Ovis aries: one gene and its partners. The protein of the gene in region 1 purifies or fractionates together with the protein of each later gene. This does not show direct contact. Links are inferred from orthologs where the notes say so. Each region holds a gene or a part of one and is shown on either strand. Other genes may lie near its edges.

Region 1 (4,829 bases):
TTTGCTGCAGTCCATGGGGTCTAAAAGAGTCCGACATGACTTAGCAACTGAACAACAACAGGGTGACTGACTACAAAATAAACTTTATACTAAGTCCAGTTTGATGACACAAGACTTAGGTGCTAACAAAATACACTGAGCATCACCAGAAGACAGACTTTTTGGAGTTTCCTCTCACATCACAGCAAATTGAATTTGTAGTGTATTTTCTCTGGTTCTAAATTTAGTCCCAGATACTTAGCTAGTAATTTAAATTCAGATTTTAGACCTAGGCTGAATATCTTTTGCTATCTTATAGAGGGAGTAGAGGGAGAATGCTAACAAGTGCAATATGTTGTTTTTCAAGAAGATGTAATATTTCCAAATTTTAATGAATATCAAGGCCTAAAGATTTGGTATAATATATTTAGGTTCATTAATTATTTTAAGTACTGATTAATTTATGTATTTGGACTTACTAACAATATATTGCTTGCAGCTTTGAGGACCGTCTGCTAGGAGACAGTGCGAATGAGGGTAAACTATTGGATTTATATACGAAATAATTGATGACCATTTCTTAATATAGTAGTTTGGGTTTGAACTTGGGCCTCCACAGTGGATAACTTGGAAGTTACCTATCTATGCCAAAGTTTCTTCCCTTGTAAAACGGTGATATAGTAGGATCTATCATGTGTACCTCCCACAGTTGTGAGGATTAGATAAAACACATAAAGTACCTCTTGTAAAAAGGAGATTACATAAAGTCTCTTTTAAGAAAAGGTAAAAATCACATATAGTTACCTAAAAATAACCATTTGTGGGGGATAGTTGTTTTCCAGTCTTGATTTATTTATGCATACTTCTTGCGTAGTACAAACTATAGTATTCTGCTTTTCTTCTTTTTAAACAAAATGTGATAGATGGTCCAGTTTCATCATTAACATTTCTTAATAGGCAATGTTAATAGCAGCATGATAGAATATCCTGTGCTTAACATAGATTTTCAGTAAATTTCAGCCATTGGATATTTCCAGATTGGTAATTTCCACTGTTTACTTTTATAAATAATGCTGTTTTTAACTAACTTGTTTCTTAGGTCTGAAGAAGACACTTGAATCATGGGTGATGTTAAAAATTTCCTGTATGCCTGGTGTGGCAAAAGGAAGATGACCCCAGCATATGAAATCAGAGCAGTGGGGAACAAAAACAGACAGAAATTCATGTGTGAGGTATTAAAAAAAATACATTTTGCATTTATGTGACTTTAAGGCTTATTTTATTAAAAGAATAATGTTTTCTGTTTGGAAATGTTAATGTGTTGTACATTGGATTATGTCCTTTATTGTGACTTCCCTGCTATTTCTATCATTATAAATCATTTTCAAGTGATATGAAATCAATCATTTAAAAAAAACTTTTGGCTGCACCACACAGCTTTGGGGATCTTAATTCCCTGACCAAGGGTGGACCCGATGTCCCCTGCAGTGATAGCACTGAGTGCTAACCACTGGACAGCCAGGGAATTCCCTGAGCGTTACTTTTAAAACATCGTGGTAGGTAAATTATTCTAATTAAAACAATGTGTCTTTCACACTTTATGCACTACCAGTAATGCAGACTAGAAAAATTGGATTAACTTTGTCTGTAGTTAGTTACTAATTCCAGTAGAAAGTAGGTGCATTCTTAACTGCTTCACATCAGAGAGCTTTAAAATAAGTACGGCTAGTTTATTCTTTGGTCTTGTAAAATCAGATTTTAATGTGGAACTTAATGTTGTATTAGAAGAAATTATATGAGCCACATAAGTTAACATTCTTGCTTTTGGATTAGTTTATCACTGGACAGTATGAATTAAGCACTTTTTTATAAGATAGCATGTGAATTCTCTTAGGTATGTTATTTTCACTATGTTTATAAAGTATATCTCCAATAATTAACTGTAATCCCTTAATGGTCTAGTAAAGTATGAATTTTTTAAATCCCAAAATTACCCAGGTCACTCTCTCAATATATTTTTTTCTTGAAGGTTCGAGTGGAAGGATATAATTACACTGGCATGGGTAATTCCACCAATAAAAAAGATGCACAGAGCAATGCTGCCAGAGACTTTGTTAACTATTTGGTTCGAATAAATGAACTAAAGAGTGAAGAAGTCCCAGCTATTGGGGTAAGTATGGCCAAACAACTTGAGACGTATAAGATTATGCTAATCCAGTATGTATGGAGGCTCAGGGTGATAGTTTTTCAGTGTTGTTTTTAAATAGTATATTAATATGTTCCTTAGTGAACCTTGGGGGTGATTTGTTTTCTCAGAGAACTGGGATAATTTCCTAAAGATTTGGATTTCATTTTCATTATGTACCTGACTTGGGGATTCCCTTTAGTCGGTATGTCTTAGGGTTTTACATATTGTATTCATTCAAAACTGATTTTTCAGAGTCTGTTGTATTCTGTGTACTTCAAAAATAACATTTTAAACAGAATATAAAAATCAGTAACATTTTAAAATACATTTGCTCCCATTGACATTTTCTTAGCAGAGTTAAAATAGTATTTGGTACAGTAGAATATCATTCTTGTGTTTTTTATACCATAATTATTTTTAATTATATTGTGTGTATGCAGCAAAAGTTTTGAAAAATAAACTAAAAAGTGAAAGTTTGAATTTTCACAAAAATAGTGGTATTGCTGATGTTTTTAGAAAGTTGTATTATGAAAAAAATCACATTATGATTTAAGCAGATGCCTTAGGTATTACATGAAAGATCCAGTTTTTATAAAACCTTTAGGAATAACATTAATTTCAGCACCCTTCAATGGGTTTTTGTATTCTGACTTGCTTAGAAAGGTAAAAATACATGTTTTTTACCTTTCCATTGCATTTACCCAGGAATTGAGTTTACTTTCTAGTATGGTGTACCACTATATAATTACAAGATTTTTAATTAGTTTGGTTGAGCCATCTGTAAAATGAAAAGATTGGACAAGACGACCTTGATTCTTTTTCAGATATTTGACCCACTGGCCTTTGTTCCATGTGTTACGACCTATTCTAGTTGTGTGTTTTGGTTTTATATTTTTAAGCCTCTTCCTAGGTCTGTTGGTGGCAAACTCTTCCATCTCTTTTATGTAAAAATGTTTTTATTTTACCTTGAATAGAAGATTCAACGCAATTCTGAGGTGCCGGTTTTCTTCTAAGACTTCAAAGATCATGTTGCACTGTTGTCTAACTTCCGTTGTTGTCTGATGAGAAGTGGGCAGTAATCCAATCATTTCTGCCTATATATGTTTCCTTTGGTTGCTTTGTTTTTTTCTTTGGTTTCCAGTAGCTTGGCTGTGATGTTTTCTTTGTACTCATCCTGCTTGGAGTTTGCTGAAATTCTTGAATCTGTAAATTTATGTCTTTCATCAAATATGGGAAACTTTTGGCTATTTTTTTTTCCCCCAAATATTTCTTAATTTTTTTTTCTTCTTTTTCTGGGACTTTCATGTTAACATATATAAGAAACCTTTTGGAACTATTTTGGAGGTCCTGGACCGTCTTTTTCTCCTCCTTTCTCTGATTTTCAGATTGGATGATTTCATATATATGTTAAAGATAATCAGTATCTTCAAGTTCACTGATTATTTTCTTTGTTGGTTCTGTCAGTTCCTCCCCCCACCGCCCGCCAGATACTATCTTTTCCCCCCCCTAAGTTTATTGCCCCCCCCCCTTTTTTTTTTAAACAGGTTTTGTTTTTCTGGTGGCATTTCTTTTCATCCAGTCAGTATAAGCATACATTCATAATACGACTGAATTTCTTGTATATCATTGAGCATAGTTACAATAGCTGCTTTAAAATTCTTAACTGCTAATTCTAACATCGGGGCCATCTCAGGGTTGGGCTCTGTTGATTGTGCTTTTTTTTTCCTGTAAAAACACTGGTTTTATTATTGAAAAAAAGAAACAAAATCCTGGTGATTTGCAGTATCTATCAGCTTTCAATTTTGGCTCTCCTGTCCAGAAGTGTTTCATGCAAGAATCCATCTTTCCGGGCCTTTTTCAGAATTTTCTGTCGTCTTTCTTATTTTAAGCTTGTGGTCTTGGAAGCTCTGGAATTTTTTTTACATAATTGATTTCACACTGTTTGACGTTTCCTTTGTCTTCTGGAATAGCATCTTTTTTCTTAGTTTCTCTTTCGGTGCAGGATCTGATCTTTATCATTTCTTCTGCCGTTTTACTTTTTGCTTCTATATCACCTGCTTCATTGCATCTAATAAAACAGCTGTTGGAGGCCAGTAAAGCCATTTTCCCATCTTGAAAGACGGGTTCCCACTGCTGTCTAGGTCCAATTGCATCTGAATGCCCAACAACAATTGTGCTTTTGAGATTTTTCCTCTTTGTATGTCAAATGGTTTTGCATTATATTCTGGGCATTGTGACTATTACATTTTGGAAACTAAATGATGTTAGTCTTCCAAAGAGTATTTTGTCATTGTGTTGTCAAGCAGTTAATTGAGATGGACTTAAGCGCCAGCACTGTCTTTTGAGTGATAGTTCAGATCTCACTTCAGTTTTCTGATCCTGTGCTGGGAGGCTTGAAATCTCCTCTGCATATATATAGTTTAAAGGTTAGCCAGAGATTTGGGGAAAGTTTATACACAAGAGTTTGGGATTCCTCTTTTGTTTCCTTTCCAGGATTTCTTTCTTACTTTCTAGCAGCTTTGGTGTCCCCAAATTCTTATCCTTTGATACTTCTGGCCAGAAAGACTGGGTTTTCTATTGAGTTTTAGCTGTCTGAGATGGTCTTCCTAGTAATAAAAGGCATAATAAGCTGGAATTATACTTTCTATTTTTTGCTTTCTCA
Region 2 (4,829 bases), on another chromosome or scaffold:
TCCTCACACGTCACGCCCTTTTTAGTGGTCTAACTGATCCCTCTGGCTTCAAACCACTTTACCCTTGGCCCCCGAAACACTTAGTCCAGACTCCGTCCAGGTTTGGGCCCCCACCTGGCCTCTCCCAATACTGTGGCTACTTCCTTAACTCCATTTACAGCCCCCCACCCCACCTTTGTCCTTCCCTGTGTCTGCCCCGCTTCCGCCTTCCTCTCCCCTCCCTTCCCCAGCTGTGGGCTGAGCTAGAGACGGGGGCAGACAGACTGGAGAGATGGTAGGCCTGGCTGAGGTATCGGGGGTGCCCTCCTGGATGGTGCTCTGGGGGTGGGGGGTTCCTGGGCGAGGCAAGACGGCAGGTGGGGGCTGTAGGGTTGCCATGGTACGGTTTGGGGAGTGGTTCTGTATACTCCATGGGGGCGTAGACCTGCCTGGAGGCTTCCGAATCTCTGGGGAGCCCCCAGATGTGACCCCGTTTGCTCCCATTCACCCCCTCCCAGGTCTCCTGTGGCCAGGCAGAAAGCAGCGAGAAGCCCAACGCTGAGGACATGACGTCCAAAGATTACTACTTTGACTCCTATGCTCACTTCGGCATCCACGAGGTGAGTATGGACAGACAGCTCCTGAGGGTGCCGAATCTTCCAGGGGGTCATGTTGGGGAGAGCTGGAGATTCATCTCTGACGCATGCGCACTGCCTTCCCTGGCAGCGGGCCACCCCCTCTGCGCAGGCAGAGCTCACACTCCGGGTCGCCTCGCGCAGCCGTTGCCTGGGAGACGGGGTTAGCCTGGCGCTCTACCAGTCCTCTCCTGGGAGGCCGCGGTGGGAGCGCGCATGTGCATCGCATGTGCATCTGAGACGCATGTGCATCTGAGACGTCAGCCCGAGGTCAGGGCCTACCGGTCTTTGCCGCCCTCTAGTGACCGGCAGCGGCTCGAAAGTCTTCTCCACCCCTTTTGCGTGTGGTGGAGGCTGAGGTCCCAGAAAGCAGCAGGGATGGGGTGGGAAGATTTTTCTCTTTCCTTTTTTAAAATATTGTTATAAAATATGCATAACAAAATTTACCATTTTCACGTGGGCGGTTTAATGGCTTTGGCTTACTGAGGACTTTTTAAAGGCAAGGCTTTACAGGGGGTTAGTCGGCAAGGGTAGAAAATGCCTAAGATGGGATTTTGGTCCATCCAGTCCAATTTCACGTAGGGAAACTGAGGCGTGTGGAAGGGAAATAACTTGTCCTAAGGGGACTAAAGCAGGTTTGAGGACTGAGTGCCAGTCTTCAAGTTGATCAGTGTGTTGGAGGCCAGGACACCCTGGTTTTCAGCAGGGGACGCCAGTCCCCTCATGATCTCTTTGTTCCCACCCCTGCCAGGAAATGCTGAAAGATGAGGTCCGCACCCTCACATACCGCAACTCCATGTTTCACAACCGGCACCTTTTCAAAGACAAGGTGGTGCTGGACGTGGGCTCGGGCACAGGGATCCTCTGCATGTTTGCCGCCAAGGCTGGGGCCCGCAAGGTCATCGGGGTGAGTGTCCTCGGCGGCCGGCCAGGCCTGGGCCTAGGGACGGAAAGGGGGCCCCTTGGGGCTCAGGGATTGGGTGGAGGGGAGTGGGGGTGGAGGGTGGCATTTGGGGGGGGGTCTCACCCTCCCTTCTTCCTGGGCCCCCAGATCGAGTGTTCCAGTATCTCTGATTATGCGGTGAAGATCGTCAAAGCCAACAAGTTAGACCATGGTGAGCCCAGGAAGAGAACGGGGTCTTTGGGGAGGGAGCGGGGGATCCCAGCTTCCCCGGGGCCCCTGGCAAGGGAATGGAGGCCATAGAAGTCAAATTCAGGCGTTCCTCCCCCGGTGGGCTCTGGGCTGCGGACAGCCCAAAAATCCAGCCTTCTCAGAACCTACCTCCTGACAAGCCGTCTTAGAATCTGCATGTCGAAGTCACAAGCTTAGTGCTTCAGTCTTTTATTTAAAAAAACAAAAATTTCAAGAAGCAATCTTGAGTTTTTTCAGTGAGTGATAGAGTCACGTGGTTGGCACATGAGGCCCATAGTAAGAAGTCTGCCACCCGCCTCTCAGCCACTCTTCTCTAAGTGCAGACAGCTCTCTCTCCCAGAGAGGTTCATACCGATGAACAAACGTGTGTGTATGTTTCTGCATTCACATGCTGGTTTTTGACACAGATAATGTTTCATACATGCCCTTTGTGATTTTCACCTGTGTATTATGTAGTTTAACACCTGATAGGATGTTGAGAGGATCTTGCTTTTTGATGACTGCCATCCTCTATTTTCACATACACCAGGTCTGTTAACCAAGTTCCTGGTCATGGGCATTTGAGCTTCCAAGACTTTCATCCCCCACCTGTAATGTCATCATCAATCATATATGAACTAATGTTATCTGTGAGGTCAGTTTGTAAAAGTAGGGTTGCATGGATCAAAAGTGGAAGAAAGTTGGGCAGAAGGTGCCACATTGCCCTTCCCACCTGCAAGGTTTGAGGGGCAGAGGACATGGGAACATGTGGGTTTTTTGATATGAGGGCCCTTGGCATTCTAGAAGCTGAAGGGGTTTTTTTTGAAAAAGAAATTAGTGTAATGAATTCCTAAGTTCCCATCACTGAGCTTTAAATACCTCCTTTTGAAGCAAATTCCGACTATAAATCCTGCCATGTGTGTATCTAATAGATTTTAAAAAATATTTAAAAAAGCATGACCACGGGAATTTCCCGGCAGCCCAGTGGTTAGGACTGCTTTCACTGCTAGGGCCCCACTTCGATCCCCCGTCAGGGAACTAAGATCCCACAAGCTACACAGTGCAGACAGAAAAACAAAACGTGACCGTGGCTGTTAGTGGCAAAATCTCTCTCATTTTTAAAAAAAATTTTACTTTGCTGCGTCAGGTCTTAGTTGCAGCGTGCGGGATCTAGTTCCCTGATGAGGGGTTGAACCCCAGTCCCCTGTCCTGGGAGCATGGACTCTTAGCCACTGGACCACCAGGGAATCCCAAGGCTGACTTCCAGTAGATTTTAGGAAGGGAGCTGCTCTGCCCCGTACAAAACCCTGACCCAGAAGCAGGTCATCTGCAAATGGTTTGGCACCAGGTTCCCCATGAGTGTGCGAGGCGTGACGGGTAAGGGGGTGGCTGCCTTTCCCATTCTGTGTCCTAGAGTGAGGGGCTGTCTGCACCGGGCCCTGGTCCTGCCTGCTAATGGCAAAATCTCAATGTCACCTCATACCTGATTCATGTCAAGTTCTGTTCCTGCCTCAGAAATACCCCTTGATGAATGAATTTTAAAAACTTAAGTTGACAGGGTGTGACTTCAGCTCACAGAGTTCTTTAAAGATGCCCCAACACAGCCCCCAGCCCTTCCTTGAGAAGACAAGGCTGTCCCGGTGGGGTCCCCAGGCCCCCAGGGGAGGCAGGCAGACGGCTGTCCTCAGGGCTGGTGGCATGTGCCCTTGTCTGCCCCGCAGTGGTGACCATCATCAAGGGGAAGGTGGAGGAGGTGGAGCTCCCGGTGGAGAAGGTAGACATCATTATCAGTGAGTGGATGGGCTACTGCCTCTTCTACGAGTCGATGCTCAACACCGTGCTCTACGCCCGGGACAAGTGGCTGGTGAGGCCCCAGCGGGGCGGGAGCGGCTCGTGCAGGCCGGTGTGGGGGTCCAGGCAGAAAAGGGAAGCTGTGCTCCGTACTTCCCACCACGGGGACTGAGTACAGGGCTTGGAAGACATCTACATGGATGTTAGGAGGCCCACGGGCAAGATGGAGGGGGCCCAGTACCGGAAGCTAGACAGGGACAGGGAGATGGTGCTGGAAAAGAACCACAGCAGGCCAGAGGGATTAGGAGGGACTGTGGACCCAGGTGCTGTCAGAGCAGGCCTCCCAGGGAGCTGACCGAGACCTGAACCCCGGACGGGGAGGAGCCACATGGGATCTGAGGGGCAAGGCACACTTAACAGAGGATTTCGGCCAGTGCAAAGGTCCTGGGGCAGCAGCGAGTTCGCTGTGTAGGGAACTTGTAGGGAACCTGCAGCAGAACACGGATCGGGAAGGAAGTTGGAGGTGAGGGGCGGGGGTGGGCCTGTGCAGGTCTCATGGGACCTCGTGGATGTGTAAGACTTTGCCTTACTCCTCAGAGGGGCGAGGTTAGGACGAGATCTGACTTAGATGCTCCTCAGAGCCATCAGGCAGCTATCTGGGGAGTAGACTGAGGCTGGGCACCAGTGAGGAGGCCGAGACAGGAGCCCACCTGGGAAGTGCTGAGCTCAGACCAGGGTGGTGTCAGGGGTGGATAAATAAACAAAATGGGGCAACCTTGCCCAGTCCCCCATCCTTCACGCCCTTGCCCTGCTCCCCGTAGGCACCCGACGGCCTCATCTTCCCAGACCGAGCCACGCTGTACGTGACGGCCATCGAGGACCGGCAGTACAAAGACTACAAGATCCACTGTGAGCTCGCGGCCCGGGGAGCTTACGGGCGGGGGCGGCTGGGTGCCAGCTACCCCTGGGCTCACCCTCCTCCCCGCCTCCTCCCCAGGGTGGGAGAATGTGTACGGCTTCGACATGTCTTGCATCAAAGACGTGGCCATCAAGGAGCCCCTGGTGGATGTGGTGGACCCCAAGCAGCTGGTCACCAATGCCTGCCTCATCAAGGTGAGCGGGTAGGGTGGCTGGGAGTCGCTCAGGGTCAACCCAAGAAGAGCCAGCACCTGGCCCCTACGTGGGACCATGAATGCTTGCTTGTTTGAGGTCTCGGGAGCTTATATACACATGTGGGATAATACCGACAGCCATCATTTTTTGAGGTTCCCCTTCTCAACCCCCGGTATCAA
Region 3 (4,829 bases), on another chromosome or scaffold:
TCTTATGACAACTGCCCTGCTAAGTAGTTCCATTGTTGATTCTTTTAAAATATGAATGGTTCCATGTAAAAAACTGTATAATATACTGATACTCATATAATAGCTTATTTATCTAACATCCTCAATTTTCCAGAATCCAGCTAAAAAACAAAAGGTAGCAAAGCATTGTTATCCTTAATACCTTGCACAGTGCTAATTTATTCCTGTTTTTATGTTTTGTTGTAACAAGCTTAACAATCTGGTTTCTAAACCCCCAGAAGATTAAGAACAGGGCATATAAAGGGGAGGAGGAGCTGCTATATTAGCAGCAGAGGTGAGAGCTGAAAGCCAACTGTAAGGGAGATATAAAAGAAGAATGATAAGACAGAAAAGTCAAATGGGTATGAAGGCTGTACTTTAAGGGCAACAGCCCTGTAGACATCTGTACACTTCAGTAAGGTAGGGCTAGGTAATTTTTAAGGTAGTTCTTGAAGGCCAGTAGTATCAAAGAATGTTTAATTACTTGCAGTGTCTGCTGTGGTATCAGATGCTATATTGAATGCTCTACATAAATTGATTTTCTTTTCATCACACCTTGAAAGGTAGGTGGTGATATTCTCATTTTATAAATTATAGAGACTTAAGAGAGGGACACACCCGCTCCAGTGTTCTTGCCTGGAGAATCTCAGGGATGGTGGAGCCTGGTGGGCTGCCATCTGTGGGGTCGCAGAGTCGAACACGACTGAAGCGACTTAGCAGCAGCAGCAGCAGAGAGGGACACACAGGCAGTGACTGGAAGAGCTAATAAACTTAGAATTTAAAAGAATCTGGCTCTAAAAAGCCAAGTTTTTTCTATTATTCTACACTAACTCTTCAGCCGAGGCCTAAAACCCCAGTCCTTCTCAGCCTCTTGGGACAGTGGTTCCACCCACCCCACCGGCCCCAACCCTGCCTTTATTCATTCTCTTGAATATGAATGTCTTTTCCTTTTAAAGATATCCATTCATTCAGTGCCTATTTACTGAGTGTCCACTATGTGCCAGGCACAGTTTTAAGTGTTTGAAATGTAGCAGTGAAAATAGTTTTGTCTCCTGTAGCCTAAATTCTAGTGGAATATAAACAAATGAATATGTATGAAGAAAAATAAAGCAGGAAAAGGGAATAGGGAGGGACCATGTGATGAAAGAAGGCCTCCATGAGAAACTAAAATCTGTACAGAAATATGTACAAGATGAAGTAGTATGAGCTGTGTGTATATCTTGGCGAATAACATGCCAGGCATAGAGTTCAGTAACTTTGGAGGCCCTGAAATAGGAGCATGCTTAATGTTTTGAGGAACAAAGGAGACCAGTGTAGCTAGAGATGAATTGAGCAATAGGAGGAGTGGATTATGGAGAAGTCACAAGGGTAGACAAGGACTCGGATCACGTGGGGCTTTATTCTCAGCGAAATAGGAAGCCGCTGGATATTTTTGAGTAGATGAATGACATAATCTAACATCCATTTAAAAAAAATCCCTCTGCATGATTGTATCGGCCAGGACCTCCAATATGTTGAACAGAATTGGTGAAAACAGACACTCTTACCTTGTTCCCAGTTTTAAAGAGAATGGATTCAGTCTTTCTGAGTACTTAAGTGTGATACCAGTAAGTATGATGTTTGCTGCAGGGCTTTTTGGTAGACTTCTATTTATAAGGCTAAGTAAGTTCTCTATTTCTAGTTTATTCAGAGGTTTTATTATGGATGGATGTTGAATTTTGTTTGTTTGTGTGGTTTTTTATCCTCTATTCTACTAACATGGCACTATGATAATTGATTTTGGGATATTAAACCAACATCATTCCTAGAATGAATCCCACTTGGCTATAGTGTATAATCCTTTTTGTATGGTCTTGATTTGGTTTACTAATATTTTGTTGAAGATTTTTGCCTGTATTCATGAGAGATGTCAGTCACTATAGTTTTCTTGTTATATCTTTGGTTTTGGTGTCAGGGTAATACTGGTCTCTTAGGCTGGAGAGTCTTCCCTCTGTTTTCTGGGAGAGTTTGTGAAGGATTGTGATTTCTTTTTTGAATTTTTTAGAAATGTATTTCTTATTTTAATTATTTTTGGCTGCGCTGGGTCTTTGTTGGTGCACTTGGTCTTTGTCTAGTTGTGGTGCACGGGCTTCTTTCTCATTGTGGTGGCTTCTCTCCTTCTGGAGAACGGGCTGTAGGCACCTGGGCTCAATAGTTAAGGCTTATGGGCTTAGTGGCCCTGAGGCATGTGGAATCTTTCTGAACCAGGTACTGAACTCAAGTTTCCTGCATTGACAGGCAGATTCTTAACCGCTGAACAACCAGGGAAGTCTTCATTTTTAAATGTTTGATAGAACAAGCCATGTGGACTTGAACTTTTCTCTGCTGGAAGATTCTTAATTACTAATTCAAAAATTCTCATTGTAGGTCTACTCAGATGTACTGTTTTTTTTTTTTTTCCTTTTGTGTCGTTAATTTGTGTGTGTCTAGGAATTTGTCCCTTTCATCTAAGTTGTTTAATTTTGTGGCTTAAAGTTGTTCATAGTATTGTCCTGTAATCTTTTTTAACTCTAGAAGGTCAGTAGTGATAACCCTTTGAGTAGTGATAACCCTTTTTTCATTCCTGATTTTGGCAATTTGTATTTTCTCTGTTTTTCTCTTGGTCAGCCTTACCGAAGGTTTAATTTTGTTGATTTTTTTCAAAGAACCAGCTTTTGGTTTCATTGTTTTTCTGTTCCACTGATCTCTTACTTTAATATTTGTTTTTCCTAACTTTAGCTTGCTTTGGATTTAGTTTGTTCTTTTTCTAGTTTCTCAAGTCTTCAGTCACTTTTTTAAGGCACTCGCATCCGAAATGAAACTCTTCTTCAGGCATGACTGACCTGCGGACTGTCACATGCTCCTCAGTAGTAGTCTCTGGAGAACTATCTGGAGCTTCAGGGAGGGCCTGACTGAGACACAGTGGAGGAGACAAGTGGTCCACAGTGTTGTGCCACCAGCAGGAAGGGGTCTAGGGCTTGACCCGTGGCACCCTGGATCCTGCCTGCCCCAGGTGCCCCACCACCACCTGAGATTTGTGTGGGTGGGCCTGAGATCCCTTGCCCTCAGACAAAGGGTATGTGCCCCCATGCTGGCTGGGGCAGGCCTAAGATGTGGACAGTTTGGTTGGTGGTGATGTGATACATGGAAAACCAGGCTTTCTCTACTTTCCTAGGAGATTTTGCCTGATACAGAGCTAGAGGAGACCATGGCCCACCTCACAGTCTTCAGAGACAGATGGCTTTGGAGTTCCTGTTAATGACTGAGATTCTAAGCAGAAATTTGATTGCATCAACGATACAAGGCTTAAAGGCAGATACCAAATAAGTACGCTTACAAATAAGGGTACTTATTTGTGCCCTTTAAAAGTTTCCTCAGTGTTCAGTTCAGTTCAGTTGAGTCACTCAGTCCTGTCCAACTCTTTGCGACCCCATGGCCTGCAGCACACCAGGCCTCTCTGTCCATCGCCAACTCCCGGAGTTTACTCAAACTCATGTCCACTGAGTCGGTGATGCCATCCAATCATCTCATCCTCTGTCATCCCCTTCTCCTGCCTTCAGTTTTTCCCAGCATCAGGGTCTTTTCAAATGAGTCAGTTTTTTTTTTCACATCAGATAGCCAAAGTATTGGAGTTTCAGCTTCAACATCAGTCCTTCCAATGAGTACTCAGGACTGATTTCCTTTAGGATTGACTGGTTGGATCTCCTTGCAGTCCAAGGGACTCTCAAGAGTCTTCTCCAACACCACAGTTCAAAAGCATCAATTCTTTGGTGCTCAGCTTTCTTTATAGTCCAACTCTCACATCCATACATGACTACTGGAAAAACCATAGCCTTGACTAGACAGACCTTTGTTGGCAAAGTAATGTCTCTGCTTTTGAATATGCTGTCTAGGTTGGTCATAACTTTCCTTCCAAGGAGTAAGTGTCTTTTAATTTCATGGCTGCAGTCACCATCTGCAGTGATTTTGGAGCCCAGAAAAATAAAGTCAGCCACTGTTTCCCTATCTATTTGCCATGAAGTGATGGGACCAGATGCCATGATCTTAGTTTTCTGAATGTTGAATTTTAAGCCAATTTTTTCACTGTCCTCTTTCACTTTCATCAAGAGGCTCTTTAGTTGTTCTTCACTTTCTGCCATAAGGGTGGTGTCATCTGCATATCTGAGGTTATTGATATTTCTCCTGGCAATCTTGATTCCAGCTTGTGCTTCATCCAGCCCAGCGTTTCTCATGATGTACTCTGCATATACATTAAATAAGCAGGGTGACAATATACAGCCTTGACGTACTCCTTTTCCTATTTGGAACCAGTCTGTTGTGCCATGTCTAGTCCTAACTGTTGCTTCCTGACGTGCATACAGATTTCTCAAGAGGAAGTTCAAGTGGTCTGGGATTCCCATCTCTTGAAGAATTTTCCACAGTTGATTGTGATCCACACAGTCAAAGGCTTTGGCATAGTCAATGAAGCAGAAATAGATGTTTTTCTGGAACTCTCTTGCTTTTTCGATGATCCAGCAGATGTTGGCAATTTGATCTCTGGTTCCTCTGCCTTTTCTAAAACCAGCTTGAACATTTGTAAGTTCACGATTCACGTACTGTTGAAACCTGCTTGGAGAATTTTGAGCGTTACGTTACTAGCGTGTGAGATGAGTACAACTGTGCGGTAGTTTGAGCATTCTTTGGCATTGCATCTTTCTTTGGGATTGGGATAAAAACTGACCTTTTCCAGTCCTGTGGCCACTGCTGAGTTTCCCAAATTTGCTGGCATATTGAGTGCAGCATTTTCACAGCAT

The links. Proteins that work in one complex are often made in the same cells at the same time.
Region 2: the proteins of DHX9 (region 1) and PRMT1 purify together in Homo sapiens (affinity purification with mass spectrometry; 3 studies listed by BioGRID and IntAct, with this or other methods). This does not show direct contact. The link is inferred for Ovis aries from reciprocal best matches to the Homo sapiens genes DHX9 and PRMT1.
Region 3: the proteins of DHX9 (region 1) and RALY purify together in Homo sapiens (affinity purification with mass spectrometry; 3 studies listed by BioGRID and IntAct, with this or other methods). This does not show direct contact. The link is inferred for Ovis aries from reciprocal best matches to the Homo sapiens genes DHX9 and RALY.

The regions. Positions count from the first base shown.
Region 1 is NC_056065.1:63,347,263-63,352,091, forward strand, and holds part of DHX9 (ATP-dependent RNA helicase A), read left to right. Parts: intron 1-1,078; 5' UTR 1,079-1,100; coding exon 1,101-1,211; intron 1,212-2,008; coding exon 2,009-2,149; intron 2,150-4,829. UniProt on the Homo sapiens protein: Multifunctional ATP-dependent nucleic acid helicase that unwinds DNA and RNA in a 3' to 5' direction and that plays important roles in many processes, such as DNA replication, transcriptional activation, post-transcriptional RNA regulation, mRNA translation and RNA-mediated gene silencing.
Region 2 is NC_056067.1:55,813,858-55,818,686, forward strand, and holds part of PRMT1 (protein arginine N-methyltransferase 1), read left to right. Parts: intron 1-158; exon of another isoform or gene 159-271; coding exon of another isoform or gene 272-274; intron 275-497; coding exon 498-599; intron 600-1,365; coding exon 1,366-1,521; intron 1,522-1,665; coding exon 1,666-1,729; intron 1,730-3,467; coding exon 3,468-3,610; intron 3,611-4,358; coding exon 4,359-4,446; intron 4,447-4,534; coding exon 4,535-4,650; intron 4,651-4,829. UniProt on the Homo sapiens protein: Arginine methyltransferase that methylates (mono and asymmetric dimethylation) the guanidino nitrogens of arginyl residues present in proteins such as ESR1, histone H2, H3 and H4, FMR1, ILF3, HNRNPA1, HNRNPD, NFATC2IP, SUPT5H, TAF15, EWS, HABP4, SERBP1, RBM15, FOXO1, CHTOP, MAP3K5/ASK1, MICU1 and NPRL2.
Region 3 is NC_056066.1:63,432,623-63,437,451, forward strand, and holds part of RALY (RNA-binding protein Raly), read left to right. Parts: 5' UTR 1-1,502; coding exon 1,503-1,625; intron 1,626-4,829. UniProt on the Homo sapiens protein: RNA-binding protein that acts as a transcriptional cofactor for cholesterol biosynthetic genes in the liver. Binds the lipid-responsive non-coding RNA LeXis and is required for LeXis-mediated effect on cholesterogenesis.